2 linked regions of the Caenorhabditis elegans genome follow. The protein of the gene in region 1 purifies or fractionates together with the protein of each later gene. This does not show direct contact. Each region holds a gene or a part of one and is shown on either strand. Other genes may lie near its edges.

Region 1 (6,864 bases):
ATAAAATTTCCAAATTTATTTATCAACAACTTCTTCATCCTCCTCGTCGTCTTCAGCGGGGTTTTCTACGTTTTGTAATTTTTCTCTAACTTCTTTTGGTATGGAAGGTCCAAATACACTTGTCTCTTCCTGATCATCGTGCTTTTCTTTTTCATTTTTTGGTTCTTCCATTCCTGGAATTACAGGGCCGTAGACTTGGGGAGCGCCTTCTTCTGCTTCGTCATCCACTTCATTCTGAAACAAAAATAGCATCAGCTGGATGTAAAGTAAAATATCAATCACACCTCTTTTATTTGACCTTTCATGAGAAATGCAGGAAGCTGAGGGCCGTATGACATATCTAAACTGAAATGGAGTTATTCGAAATATTTTATATAAATTTCTGTCGGATATTTATGCATGTTGTCTAAAAACATAGTTTGGAAGAATCGAACAAAATTAATTTTAAAAAAAATTTAAATAAGAAAATCAGCACATTCGAGGACTAACATTTGTGACAAGCCTACGCGCTCCATTGAACATGAAACTTTGACTTTTTCCAGGTGTTCCTAAATTGATGATGAATCCCAAATATTTTCTTGAATATTTTCTTAATATGTTTATTAATATATTAAAATTGAAAATGTATTAAAATTATTGAGGTAAATCTATAAAATCAGGAAAAATTCTATCATTGTTCGGTGGCCTAGAAATTGGGGTCTAGGTTTCTCATGACCGAACTTGACGAATCCACGTTCTTTCAAAGCTTGTTCTTGTTTTTATGCTTCGTAATCGATTTTCTGAAATACATGTTTTGAAACGCATATCTTTCGTTTGTCATACATTGGAAACTTTTATTTAAACGATTATTCAAACCCACGTAAAATGAATAACTTGTTTTTACAGAGAATTAAACACGAATGTCATGGTTGTCTAAAGTGTCCGATATTGCCGGAGCGGCCGAAAATCTTTTGAATAAACTTGATGAAAAGGCAAATCTTGAAACTAATGTTTCTATGTACAGAATAAATGTTACAGACTGGAGACGCAATTCAAAATGCCAGAGATTCCGCTCCTCGAACACGTAAATCAAGTACCGCCAGCGTCTCAGCAACGATTATTTCGATGCCAGAACATGTTATCACTGAAGATTTCGGCAGACCGGCTCCATCTCTTCCCTCGAGAGCTCAGAGTGATTATACCGGAGCCGGATGGAGAGGAGGAAGAAATTATGAACAGTTCGTTATTCTGATTTTCTTCACATGTGTCATTTAAAATTTCAGGGGTAGTTCATCGACTCATCAGCCAGGAGTAACAGCAGCATCTGAAAGTTGGACGATGGTTTTAAACTCGAAAGAAGTAAAAAATGCAAAACCAGATGAAGATACACGAAGTCAGAGGAGTGTTGGAGGCCGTAGTGTTGCTAGTATTCGAACTACCTGTATGTTTTGACGATTCTTACGAAACTTTTGAATTTTGATTTTTCAGCAGAATTTGCGGGAAACGATTCGAGTCCCAATTTTAAATCTCAATTATTTGCAAAGGATTCTCAAATATCAGTATTAAAAACGAAACTTTCTGAAGTGGAAAGAAAATTTGAAAAACGTAGTCAAGATTATTACGAGATGAAAGCTGAAAAGGAAATGTTAGAGAAGAGAGTTGAAAACCAAAAAGTATCAAGTCATGAAATGGATAGTCTTCAAGAATTGAAATTAGCCAGGTAATTATATTAACATCTTGACGTGTTGTTTTGCATTTAATTCAAGTTTTCTAGACAAAAAGCACAAGATCAAAAAGAGAAAGCAGTGGAGGAGTGTAACATGCATAAGAGAAAAATAGTTGGTTTGGAAGAAGAAATTCGTGCGATGGTCGAACAGTTGAGGCTGGCAAAGTTCAATCTGAATGAGAACAAAAAAGAATTTGATGAGTACAAGAACAAGGCGCAGAAAATTTTGACAGCTAAAGAGAAACTGGTGGAGTCGCTGAAGTCAGAGGTTTGAGAGATTTGACCGAGGATTGATATTAAAATTCAATTCAGCAAGGAATCGGATCCAGTGATCGTCCTGTTCATCTTCTTCAAGCTGAAGTTGAAGAGATCAGAGTTGAAAGAGACCTTACAAAAGCCGATTTAGAATCTGCACAACTTCAAGTTTATACCTTGAGATCTGATATGGAAGAATTGGAAGCTCAGATAAGGTAAGGTTTTTCCTTAAATTTTTCACATTTCGGATTTATGACGAAAATTCAAATTCTCTCCCATACTCGATGGTCGAGCTTTTAATTAATAGCTTTTTAATTTTTTAATTCAAAAAAAAGAGGCTTTTTTGAGAAATTCTTAGTACTGTTCCAATTTCCACTTTTAAGAGATCTCCAATCTCAATTGTCGGACCAAAAACGAACTCATCTCGAGGAGAAGCAGACATGGGATAGCACAATTGGTCTTCTAAACGAGAAAGTGGAATGTTCAAGAATTGAAAATGAGTTCACAAAACAAGAAATGAAAAGACAAGGTGATCAGCATCAATCTAAAATGCTCGAGAAGGAAAATGAGTTGAGAAAGACGATTAGCGACTTGCGTTCACGAATGCGAGATGAACAAACGAAGCAGGAAGATGATGGATCATCACAACTAACTGATCTTTTACTGCAGAAGCAACAACAATTGGAAGATGTTTTAAGAAATAATCAAGTGTTGAATGTGAGATTGGAAAGACTTCAGGTGAGAAACTATCAATTTATGAATATCAAAAGTTGTAATATTCTGTTTTTAGAAAGCTACAAATCGTGAAACATCGATTGCTGTGGACTCGAATTCATCTCCAATGCACACGTCATCATCTCATCCACTTCTATCAAATATCAATAATCCACAAACTCGAAATGCTCTTCACACTGTAGATTCGACGGCATTCAAATTGTTATCAATGCTCCGCGGACATCCATCAGCCCGCCTCTTTTTTGTTTTGTACTTTATCATAATGCATTTATGGCTTTTCTTCATTGTTCTCACGTATACCCCAGAGATTCATTGATTTAATCACGGTTGTGTTCCTTATTATGTATGTTTGTATAATATATTGGGATTAACATATACTGCATGGTTAGTTTTTACTTGGTTTAGTGTTTCTTTTCTTTTTTCGATTATTTTCCAGTGTGATACCCGCTGTTACTTTTCCCGTACCCCATTTTCGCTTTTTTTTTGTCCTAAAATAATTCATTCTCTTCAAAATACAATAATGACTGGTCTAGATCCGAACTATGTGAATAAAAATAAACATCAGCTAATGTAGGATTTTCCCTGTTTGTCTATAAAATTTTGCGGTTTTCATATAAATTTCCGCCTTCAATACATCTGAGATTATCGATTTTGCTGTCATTCTTGTCAATTTCATCCTCCATTTTCCATTTATTTGATTTCAAAACAAATAGCAGTGACGAATGTCGCCAATGATGAGGATGAAGAGACGCAGAGTGATAGGGGAAACTGTTTGAGTCATACTTCGATTTCTGTTTTCTACAACTCTTCAGTTCGTTTTCTTGCGATAAAAGTAGCAATGATTTCATTCATTTTTCCTTTTCTTGCGAAATTTTAGAATAATTATTGTCGGGAAAGAGTTTTAATATTTATTTAATCGTACTTTAGAAGTTTATACGAAATTTGTTTATTTTTAATTAATTTTTCGACATTTCAGAAATGTCTGCGAATCTCCCACCAGCATTCAAACCAATTGCTCACTACATAAAGATTGCTAACGAGAATGCAAGCCGCGATCCGGTCATTTATTACTGGTGTAAGTTATTTTTCAAATATTTTGACCAAACTATTCATTTGAACCGAATATCTCATTTTCCCCGCTTTTTTGTTTGAGCTTTTATCTAACTATTTGTAAATACTAACAGGGTTGTGCGGAAATTTTATTAAATACCAAGTAACGAAAATCTTTAAAAATTGTGAACTTTATCATCGCACAGCCCTGCTCTGTATGGCACTTGGTCCTGTGGAGACAACATTCGATGAAATATCGTGGAAACTACTTCAAACATCGATTCGCCTGGAAAAAGATCATATCAATGATAGAGATTCACTCCGAGAATATATTGATGAACCTGGTGGAGTTGTGAATAATTGTCAAAGAGCACAAAATATATCAATGGAAATTGAACAGAAAAATGTTTCGTGTGAAAAGCTGAGAGAAAAAATTGCAAAGATTAATCAGAAGATACTTATTGGAAAAGGAAAGCTTTCAGAAGTGAACGAAGAACTTTCCAAAAAGCAAAATTTTGAGGAGAGTTTGAAGCAGAAAATTGAAATTATGGAGCTACAAATAAATAAAAATCAGTCCAAAAAGGATAAAGAAGTGAAATCAATCAATGTATTGATCAGATTAGTTGCATATAGAAAGCTCACATTGATCAAAGAAGTCATGGACCTGTTCAAAGTGAAGATCGATGGAGGGCCAGCATCTGAAGCAATTACTACTAAAAACTGTCAATGTCAGCTAATCGATACGATCCGTGGACTTCATATTCCTCAAATCACTCACATTTTCAATCACTCGGAGGCTCCAACTCTAACCGCACTTCAAAATCTGACTCATCTCTTCAATGTGATTTGTAAAGTTCTACACTTTGCTCCAAAATATCCCATTCTGACAAATCTTCAAATCATCAACCCAATTGATCAGAAAAGTTCAATATTCACGGAGAAATGTTGGAAGAAGAAGGCAGATCGTGAGAAACTGATTGAGGGAATGTCCTGGTTGAGTAAAAATATCAGTCATCTTCGTGAAAGTTGTGGAATTCCGACAATGGCGACTGACAGAATTCTCGGAACACTTGAAGAATGGATTCGATTAGTTATTCGCAAGGAAACTGTTTTCGAGAGACCCATTAATAGTATCTTTAGTCCCGCAAACTTATTGATTGATTATCAAATTCCAAACATTTCCTACCATAGTTAGGTTATTCAGTTATTTCCTCTGTGAAGTGATCCCCGGAAGTCTGATTTATTCCATCAATCCTTTTTTACATTCCCAGTGTCCGTATGCTTTTGCAAATAAAAAACATTGTATAATTTCCTAATCTGAATTTATTCATTTTCTAAACATTTAATCCTCTACAGGTCTCTTCTATGCTGTTCAAACTGCCATGAAGCTTGATAAATCAACTGTCGAAGCACGTCAATATCTGACTGGACTTCTCACAACTCTTGAAGCGATTAAAACTCAATTGGCTGACAATGATGCTATTAAAAATGAGGTGAGATTTTAATTTTCAAATGACTGTATAAAAAATTTTTTCAGACAATTGCTCAAGCACACATTGAAAGTTTTGCTGAAAAGCTCTTCAACTTTGCCGACAAGAAAGAGAAAACAGGAAATGTTAGTTGATTTAAATTTGTTTTCTGAATCAGAAATATTTCGATTCAGTAGAAATCGAATTTTGATGTTTTCAAAAATGCTAATTTTAATAAGTAAACGAAAAAAATAATTTTTTTCAAAAACATGAGAAATGGCTAAAATATAATGAAAATGTTCCCCTCAAAAATCAAAGATTTTCGATCAGGGTGTCGGCGAAAAATTTTTCCATTTTTCCGTTTTTTTAGAGCAAAACCGAATTTTTTTTTCAGAAAATGCTTCTGAAAACCTTTAAAAATCGTTCTCTTTCAAAAAAAATTTAGTATTTATATTCCGGTTTTCCAACAACAGAAATTTCCCATTTTTCCAGGATGGAAAACATTAAAGCTTTTTTTTCGATTTATCAGTTTCTGAGCCAAATTTTAAAAAACTAAAAAATTTTGTTATTCAGCTATTCAGAAAAACCGGCAAAATCAGAATCAGAATTGAACTATTTCAGGTCGATAAATCCGTAGTCCACGCATTCTACACTGCAGGACATGTCATGGATATTCTTTCTCTGTTTGGAGAGGTAAGTAGATCTGAGTATTTATACTAATTAATTTATACCAAAAAACAAAAATAATACATTTCTTATTTTACCCAACTAAATTAAAAATTTTAAGAAGTCGGTTTTGTTTTTGGTTTTTTGGTTCGAAAAAATAAAAAAACAATAGTTCTGGTAGAAATATATTGAAACAAAGTTTTTTTGCAGATTGATGAGCCATTCCTTTCATCAAAGAAATATGCTAAATGGAAGAGCACACAGATTTTCACATGTTTGAGAGATGGAACACCTTATGTACCAAGTAGTCAAGAGACAGAAGATGCGGACGATGGTAGGCTTCGAGATTCTTCATAGAATTTTCAAGAAAAGCATTTTGAACTTTTAGATTTGTCACAGTTTGGAGCACAATTCCAACCAAATGCTCCATCTTCATCAGGGCCACAGGAGCACAGTTATAATCAACCACCGGCTCCTGGATTTGGATTTGGAGGTGGAATTCCGAATGTCCCATCAGGTTAGAAAATATTTGAAACAGAAAAAAAAATACACAGCTTAAAATTGAATAACTCGTTTCAAAAAAGTGAAGATAAAGGGTGTCGGATTTTCTTTTTTTTTGAAATCTAAAAACCAAAAATGAAAAAAGTGAAAAATTTTCGACGACATCCTTTTTTAGGATTTCAGAAACTGCATATATTTCTTTGCTTTTTTCAACGAAAAATTTTGATTCTGAATTATTCGAAGCAAAAATTAATAGATGTTCGGAAGATCAAAAATTTAATTTTCTTTTCAAAAATAATTGAATTCTGAACTTTTAAAGATCACTCTCTTCCACCACAACCACCTGCTCGCAACAATATTCCACCTCCATCGTATTCTTCAACTCCAAATCTTCCATCTCATACTCCATTTTCGGCTCCACCACCACGTAATCAGCCACAACAATACGAAGATTTCTCAACACCACAGCCTGTTGCCCCACCT
Region 2 (5,895 bases), on another chromosome or scaffold:
ATAAACTTGAGTTCAAATTTCTTGCAATACAGTTTTTTGACAAAAAATCTTTAAAAAAAAACAACAAAAAATTTATTTGAAATTTGGACCGAAAAACAAAAGTTAGAATTTCTCCAAAAAGCCGAAAAAATTTCAAAAAAAAATTCCTCCTTTCAACTGAGACTCAACATTTTTGAAAAACAGTTTTACAAGCTGCATAATAATTATCAAAACAACTTTTTTTAGAAAAATATCCTGCAATTAACAATTTGATGCAAAAAATCAAAACGAAAAAGCAGAAGAACACACTGATCCTTGCTGCCGTCATCTCATCGTGCCTTATTTTTACAATTTTCTGGATTATCAATTAATCAGTTTCAAATATCAAAAAAAAACTCAAAAACTTTTTCGAACTCCGATTTTCGTATTTTTCGAAGAAATTTAACAATCGGCAGTCGTAACTTTTTATCAAGTTTTCGAGTTGTTATTACTTTGTGTCAATGAAAAATAGAAACTGAATGATAAGAATAATCGATTTTTGTACTATTCCCTTGTCCCTTCATACAACGCACACCACTTTCATTGTGATATTCCTCACCGTTTTTCTAATTTTTACTTGTAAATAATTTTCTCGTTTTGTAATCTTTCGAGTATAATGGAGTTCTTGGCTTTTTCGTTTTTTTCTCGATGTGAAACAATTGGGTATACATATTTATGAATTAAAGTATTATTTAAAGATTTTTTTGAAAGTTTACAGTTGAAAGTTTAATTCTATAACTTTATTTGTTCATTGATTCTGGATGATAAAATTTATTTATCTAGAATTCAGATGACCCTCCGTCCATTTGTGTGTCCATCAATTCTGAATGCCGATCTTGCATCATTGGCTTCTGAATGCAAGAAACTTTTAGCAGCTGGAGCAGATTGGTAAGGTGATCTTTAGAAATTCTGAATAGTTTTGACAACTACTTTCATATTTAAATGTCCCTTTAGATTTCAAAAATCTAAATGGGAACGCACAAAAACCTCTTCTGAAATCAACATGGAAACGTACTCCACGGCCAATTGGAAACGCTCCGACCCCCCGAGATTACGGTCTCGTTAGGTATTTGGCCACAAAATCGCAAATTGAAATTGTTTTCATCTTCAAACACAAATTGGCAGGACTAATTGAAAACGCTTAAACTATCAATGTCAATACCTAATGAGACCCATGGTTCGAGGGGCGGAGCGTTTTCATTTAGCAGTAAGTAAGTAACGTTTCCACTTGGATTTTCAAAGGATTTACTTTCTGCGTTCCCATAGTATCCAGCTCCCAACTTGCAGGCTTCACCTCGACGTGATGGACGGTCACTTTGTACCAAACCTCACATTCGGTCACCCTGTCGTTGAATCTCTTCGTAAATCTCTTGGTGCTGAACCATTCTTCGATGTTCATTTGATGGTCTCTAATCCTGGACAGTGGGTTGAACCGATGGCAAAAGCTGGTGCCAGCCAGTTCACATTCCATTATGAGGCTGTAGATGGTGATGTGGCAGTCAGTGAATTGATCGAAAAAATCAGAAAAAGTGGAATGAAAGTGGGATTATCGGTCAAACCGGGAACTTCTGTTGAGCATATTTTGAAGTAAAATCAAAATTATATTTCAATCTAGATTTTAAATTAAAAAACTTTTTAGACATGCTAATCATTTGGATAATGCTCTTATCATGACTGTGGAACCAGGATTTGGAGGACAAAAGTTCATGGAAAACATGATGGAAAAGGTATTTATTTTGGTTTTTATTTGATACGAATAAAATTTATGGCTTTCAGGTTCGCACAATCCGTTCAAAATATCCAAATCTGACTATTCAAGTTGACGGAGGAGTAACACCTGAAAATATTGAAATCTCTGCTCAAGCTGGAGCCAATGCGATCGTGAGTGGAACTGGAATCATCAAAGCTGCAGATCAATCTGTCGCCATGACAACAATCAGAAATGCAGTTGAAGCTGCTATTTCGAAGTGCTGATTTTCTTAATTACTTGAATATTGTTTTGAATTTTGAAGCTCATTTTTTCAGAGCTTTTTGAGGTTGTGATGTTAATAGTTAGTAAATGATTGTCAATTAAAAAATTCAAAGCAGCATTTATTTATCTATAAAGTTCAGATGGGCTCTGCAGTTCCTAGCTTCGGGGTCGGAGCAGGTGTCTGAAAAAAGAGCATTACAAAACATCATGGACCATTCTTCAGTTGCTTACATTTTTAACACTTTCCTTCTCCTTGCTCGGAGTCTTCTTATCCTGATTTGATGGCAATACTCCAGTACTTCCAATTGTATCTTTACTCGGAGTCTTTCGTGGTTCGATATTTCCTGCCTCTTGGCTCATTGCAGTATTCAACGACGGCTCCTTGCTTCTTCCTCCAGCATTTGCAGTCTTTGTAGATTGCTTCGGAGTCAACATGATCTCACGAGACGGCTGCTTACGATTCGGAATTGGAGGAGGAGAACGTGGCAATGTCTTTTTCTGAAAAATTGGTTGTACTTTTGCTCAAGATCTTGGAGTACTACAAAAGCTAAAAAATATTTCGAAAAATAAAAAACGAACCAGATCAGTCTCACTCTCCTTTGGTGTCTTCTGTAAGCTGAGCATGGCCGATTTTGGAGCAGGCTGAAAATTGATTGAAATGAATGAAAACACTCGAGTGAACATACAAACCTCTTCAATAGTTCCAAGTGTCATAGTCTTCGATTTACGAGTATCTTCATCTGAAAATTGATTTCGATTATTTGCAAGAAATAGACAGACACTTCACCAGTCCCTTTCCTTCTGCCTACCTAATACTTACTTCACACCTGCCTGCGTACGTGTCCACCTCATCCCTACATCTTACGGCTTTGCCGACTTGCACAACCCCCCTCAATACCTACTCCCTGTCTATCTGACCACCAGGGCAACCAAGTTGCTGGTTGCCGAAAATTGGAGCGTATGGCAACTAAACAATAACCGAGTTCTGATTCTTACCTCCCATCGTGTCATAAACACGTTCAATATCAGATGGTGGAAATGTGACATCTTCTGGATATCGATTATCTTTTTTTCCTGGTTTTGTTTCCTCTGAAATAATGAATTTTGGAGAGACAGATACAGAGAAAGACATACGTTTTTGTCCATTTGTCGAGTAGTTCACATTGACAGAACCCAAATGATTAGGATGACAGATTTGTTTGCAGATTTCGATTGGAAGGAGAATTTGCAACGCCTGAAACTAGTAAAATTAAATAACTTTTTATGAAAACTTTTCTATCATAATTTGGGGCATTGACCAAAACCAATTTTTTCTAAAAATAACCTTATCGAATGTTTATTTTTGTATCGGAACATTATAGAAGTTCGAAACTACAGTTTATTCGTTAGTTTTTCATCATTTGACTTGAGAGTCGTGATAGTACTTCAGAGACTCTTCGGATATCTACAGTAACCTACAAGTGTATTGTATGTGTGAATATAATGTTTTGTAGAAGTATCCAAAAGAGAGGTGTTCAATTCACAACTATCGAAAAGGGCAATTTCTGAAGAGTTGAACTTGCCTCGTCAATCAAATCGATGATTGCATTATCCAAATCCTGTATCGTACTCCATAGTTGAAATGCGTTGAAAACCGAGTAAATGGTACTCAACAACGCGATGAAGCAAAGTGCAGAAGCTACAATCCATAATCCAAGTGCCAGTTTATTATAATGAAAATATTCACACTGGTGTTGCTTGAGTAAGTTATCGATCGTTGTTGTCTGAAAATCCGATTAACATGAGAACTGCTAATGAGGTTCCCAGCCACGATGCAACTAGATTCCACTTCAAATTAAACGTGTCAAGTATTAAGAAACCATCGGTGCATGAGAATGTCTACTTTCTGGCGCGAAAATGGCGGCAGGAGAGATTCTTCGGATATCTAGAGTAATCTAATTGTAAGAACATGCGGCGATGAGAATTTAGGTACCTTCGCTACGAGATATTCCCGCGCCAAAACGGTAGGCATTCTCATGATCTCATGGTCTCTTAATAATTTCTCTTATTTTCTTCTGTGGCATTTTTGAGTCCTAGACTCTTTCAAGTACTATATGTGTCCCCATTCACTCCACCTTTAAGATTCACAAGATTGAAAGTTTCACAACTTACCGAAATTATTGCAGTTGTAACATTTGAAGAATTGTTCATTTTTGAATAAAATGAAGCAGTCACTTCGAGGAATGAAACACTAAATGTGAAACACTACATGGCCAGAGAAAATTTGACCTTTCAAAAGATAAATATTTATACGTGAATTTTGTTTTAATTTTTTGCATATAAATCAAAACATTCATTTATTAAGTAAAAATATATAATTTGTAGGTTAAAAAAACAACAAACAAAAGTTAAAAAAGGGGCTCATTCATATCAAATCCATCATCATAGTGATCAAATTTGAGATCAGCTCCAAAATCTTCATCATCGTAATCTACGAATTCGCTGTCGTCTCGCTGGAAAAACGATTTTTAACCGGTGACTTTAGAGCCTATATTAATGTAATGTAACTCAAGCTGCATTACTGCTATCCTGTTTCTACCGTAACACTCACCGTAAACTACTAAATAGATTCATTTAAAGTAATGATGTTTTTGATACATATTTTTAACGGGATAGTCAGAGTGTCTTCGTTTTTGAAAGTATTTTTATACAGAAATAAAACTAGGAAATGCTAGTGACGTTAAATTTCCAAAACCTTGTATAGTATATTTGTATAGTGACCAGTATCATAATATTATTTGTACCAATCAACGAATAAATTGTTAAAATAACTACGATCATACCTCAACCATCTCCAACCATTGTGCATTGTGCCATTTGAATCTCTCTCCAGCTATCCGTTTTGCCCATTCTTTTGAATGTTCACCCATTATCAAAAGGGCATTATCGCAAACTTCTCGAACCACTGCGTTTGCATCGTGCATCAAATCGATCATATGGGCTCCGAGAGCTGAATCTTGAGTCATCAGGCGAGCAGATAGTTCCTTTGAAAAATTTATATGAGAGTTGAAAAAACTCTAAAACGTTATACCTTGTGCTTTAAAAATTGCAAGAAAACGTAGAGAAGTTGCACAACAAACTCATCATCAATTTGGCATGCTGAAAAAAAGATTGCGATATTTTTCAGTAATTTATTTGTATTCTCGATACACCCAAAAAAGATCAAAATGACACCAGTAAAACACTTCAAAAACGTTAGATTTTAAAAAAGATTTAGCTGAAGATTTGTTAATTTGCCAATTACTTCCAAAAATATGTACTTTTTGAGTAATTTTGAACATTTTTACATGTTCGATTTCCTAGAATGTTCAAATACAATTGAAACACAACTAGTTTCAATAATTTCCATTTTGTAATTTACCAACTGGCAAAGCTCCACCTTTAAATCTGATTGTGAGGAAAAATGAACTTTTATGTTTTCAAAAGTTACTGGGGTTTTATTATGAAACAAACTCTTAAAAAATAACTTAAATTTATGAACGTACATTGTAATAACTGCACAAATGTATCAATCAAAGGAGCCAATAACCTAGCTGCATCCAATTGCCTAGCCATTGTTCCACAAGCAATTACAATTTGTAGTTGGAGAGGTTTTATGTCTCGAAGTACTGTCACTTCTTCGGATTCATCAATTCCTTCTTGAAGTTGAGTTTTCATCCAAGGAACAAGATTTTCAGATTGAATTATTCTATAATTTAAGTTTTTGATTGGAATTCCGAACTCAAAAAGCTCACTTTGCCCACGGAGCAACTTTGAGCTCAGCAACTGTACCCATGCATTCTAAACCAAATGAAGATTTTGACTCTGAGTTGTCTGCTCCTTCATTTTTTGCAATCCCGATAAGAGTTTCAATCCACTTCTGAAAA

What was found. Proteins that work in one complex are often made in the same cells at the same time.
Region 2: the proteins of T23G11.7 (region 1) and F08F8.6 fractionate together in Caenorhabditis elegans (co-fractionation; one large-scale study listed by BioGRID). This does not show direct contact.

What each region holds. Positions count from the first base shown.
Region 1 is NC_003279.8:7,675,783-7,682,646, forward strand, and holds T23G11.7 (HAUS6_N domain-containing protein), read left to right. Parts: upstream 1-3,665; 5' UTR 3,666-3,673; coding exon 3,674-3,770; intron 3,771-3,951; coding exon 3,952-4,940; 3' UTR 4,941-5,051; downstream 5,052-6,864. Other genes in the region: F26A3.7 (uncharacterized protein), read right to left, coding at 31-234, 285-338; golg-5 (Golgin-84), read left to right, coding at 900-971, 1,018-1,217, 1,263-1,420, 1,468-1,699, 1,754-1,973, 2,018-2,175, 2,344-2,698, 2,751-3,011.
Region 2 is NC_003281.10:7,342,056-7,347,950, reverse strand, and holds F08F8.6 (uncharacterized protein), read right to left. Parts: upstream 4,263-5,895; 5' UTR 4,181-4,262; coding exon 4,142-4,180; intron 3,754-4,141; coding exon 3,553-3,753; intron 3,225-3,552; coding exon 3,125-3,224; intron 3,080-3,124; coding exon 2,987-3,079; intron 2,731-2,986; coding exon 2,681-2,730; intron 2,633-2,680; coding exon 2,570-2,632; intron 2,489-2,569; coding exon 2,222-2,488; intron 2,172-2,221; coding exon 2,127-2,171; 3' UTR 2,096-2,126; downstream 1-2,095. Other genes in the region: gos-28 (Golgi SNAP receptor complex member 1), read left to right, coding at 226-350; F08F8.7 (Ribulose-phosphate 3-epimerase), read left to right, coding at 809-906, 1,306-1,605, 1,658-1,745, 1,795-1,992; kap-1 (Kinesin-associated protein), read right to left, coding at 4,378-4,482, 4,813-5,013, 5,061-5,128, 5,515-5,717, 5,764-5,888.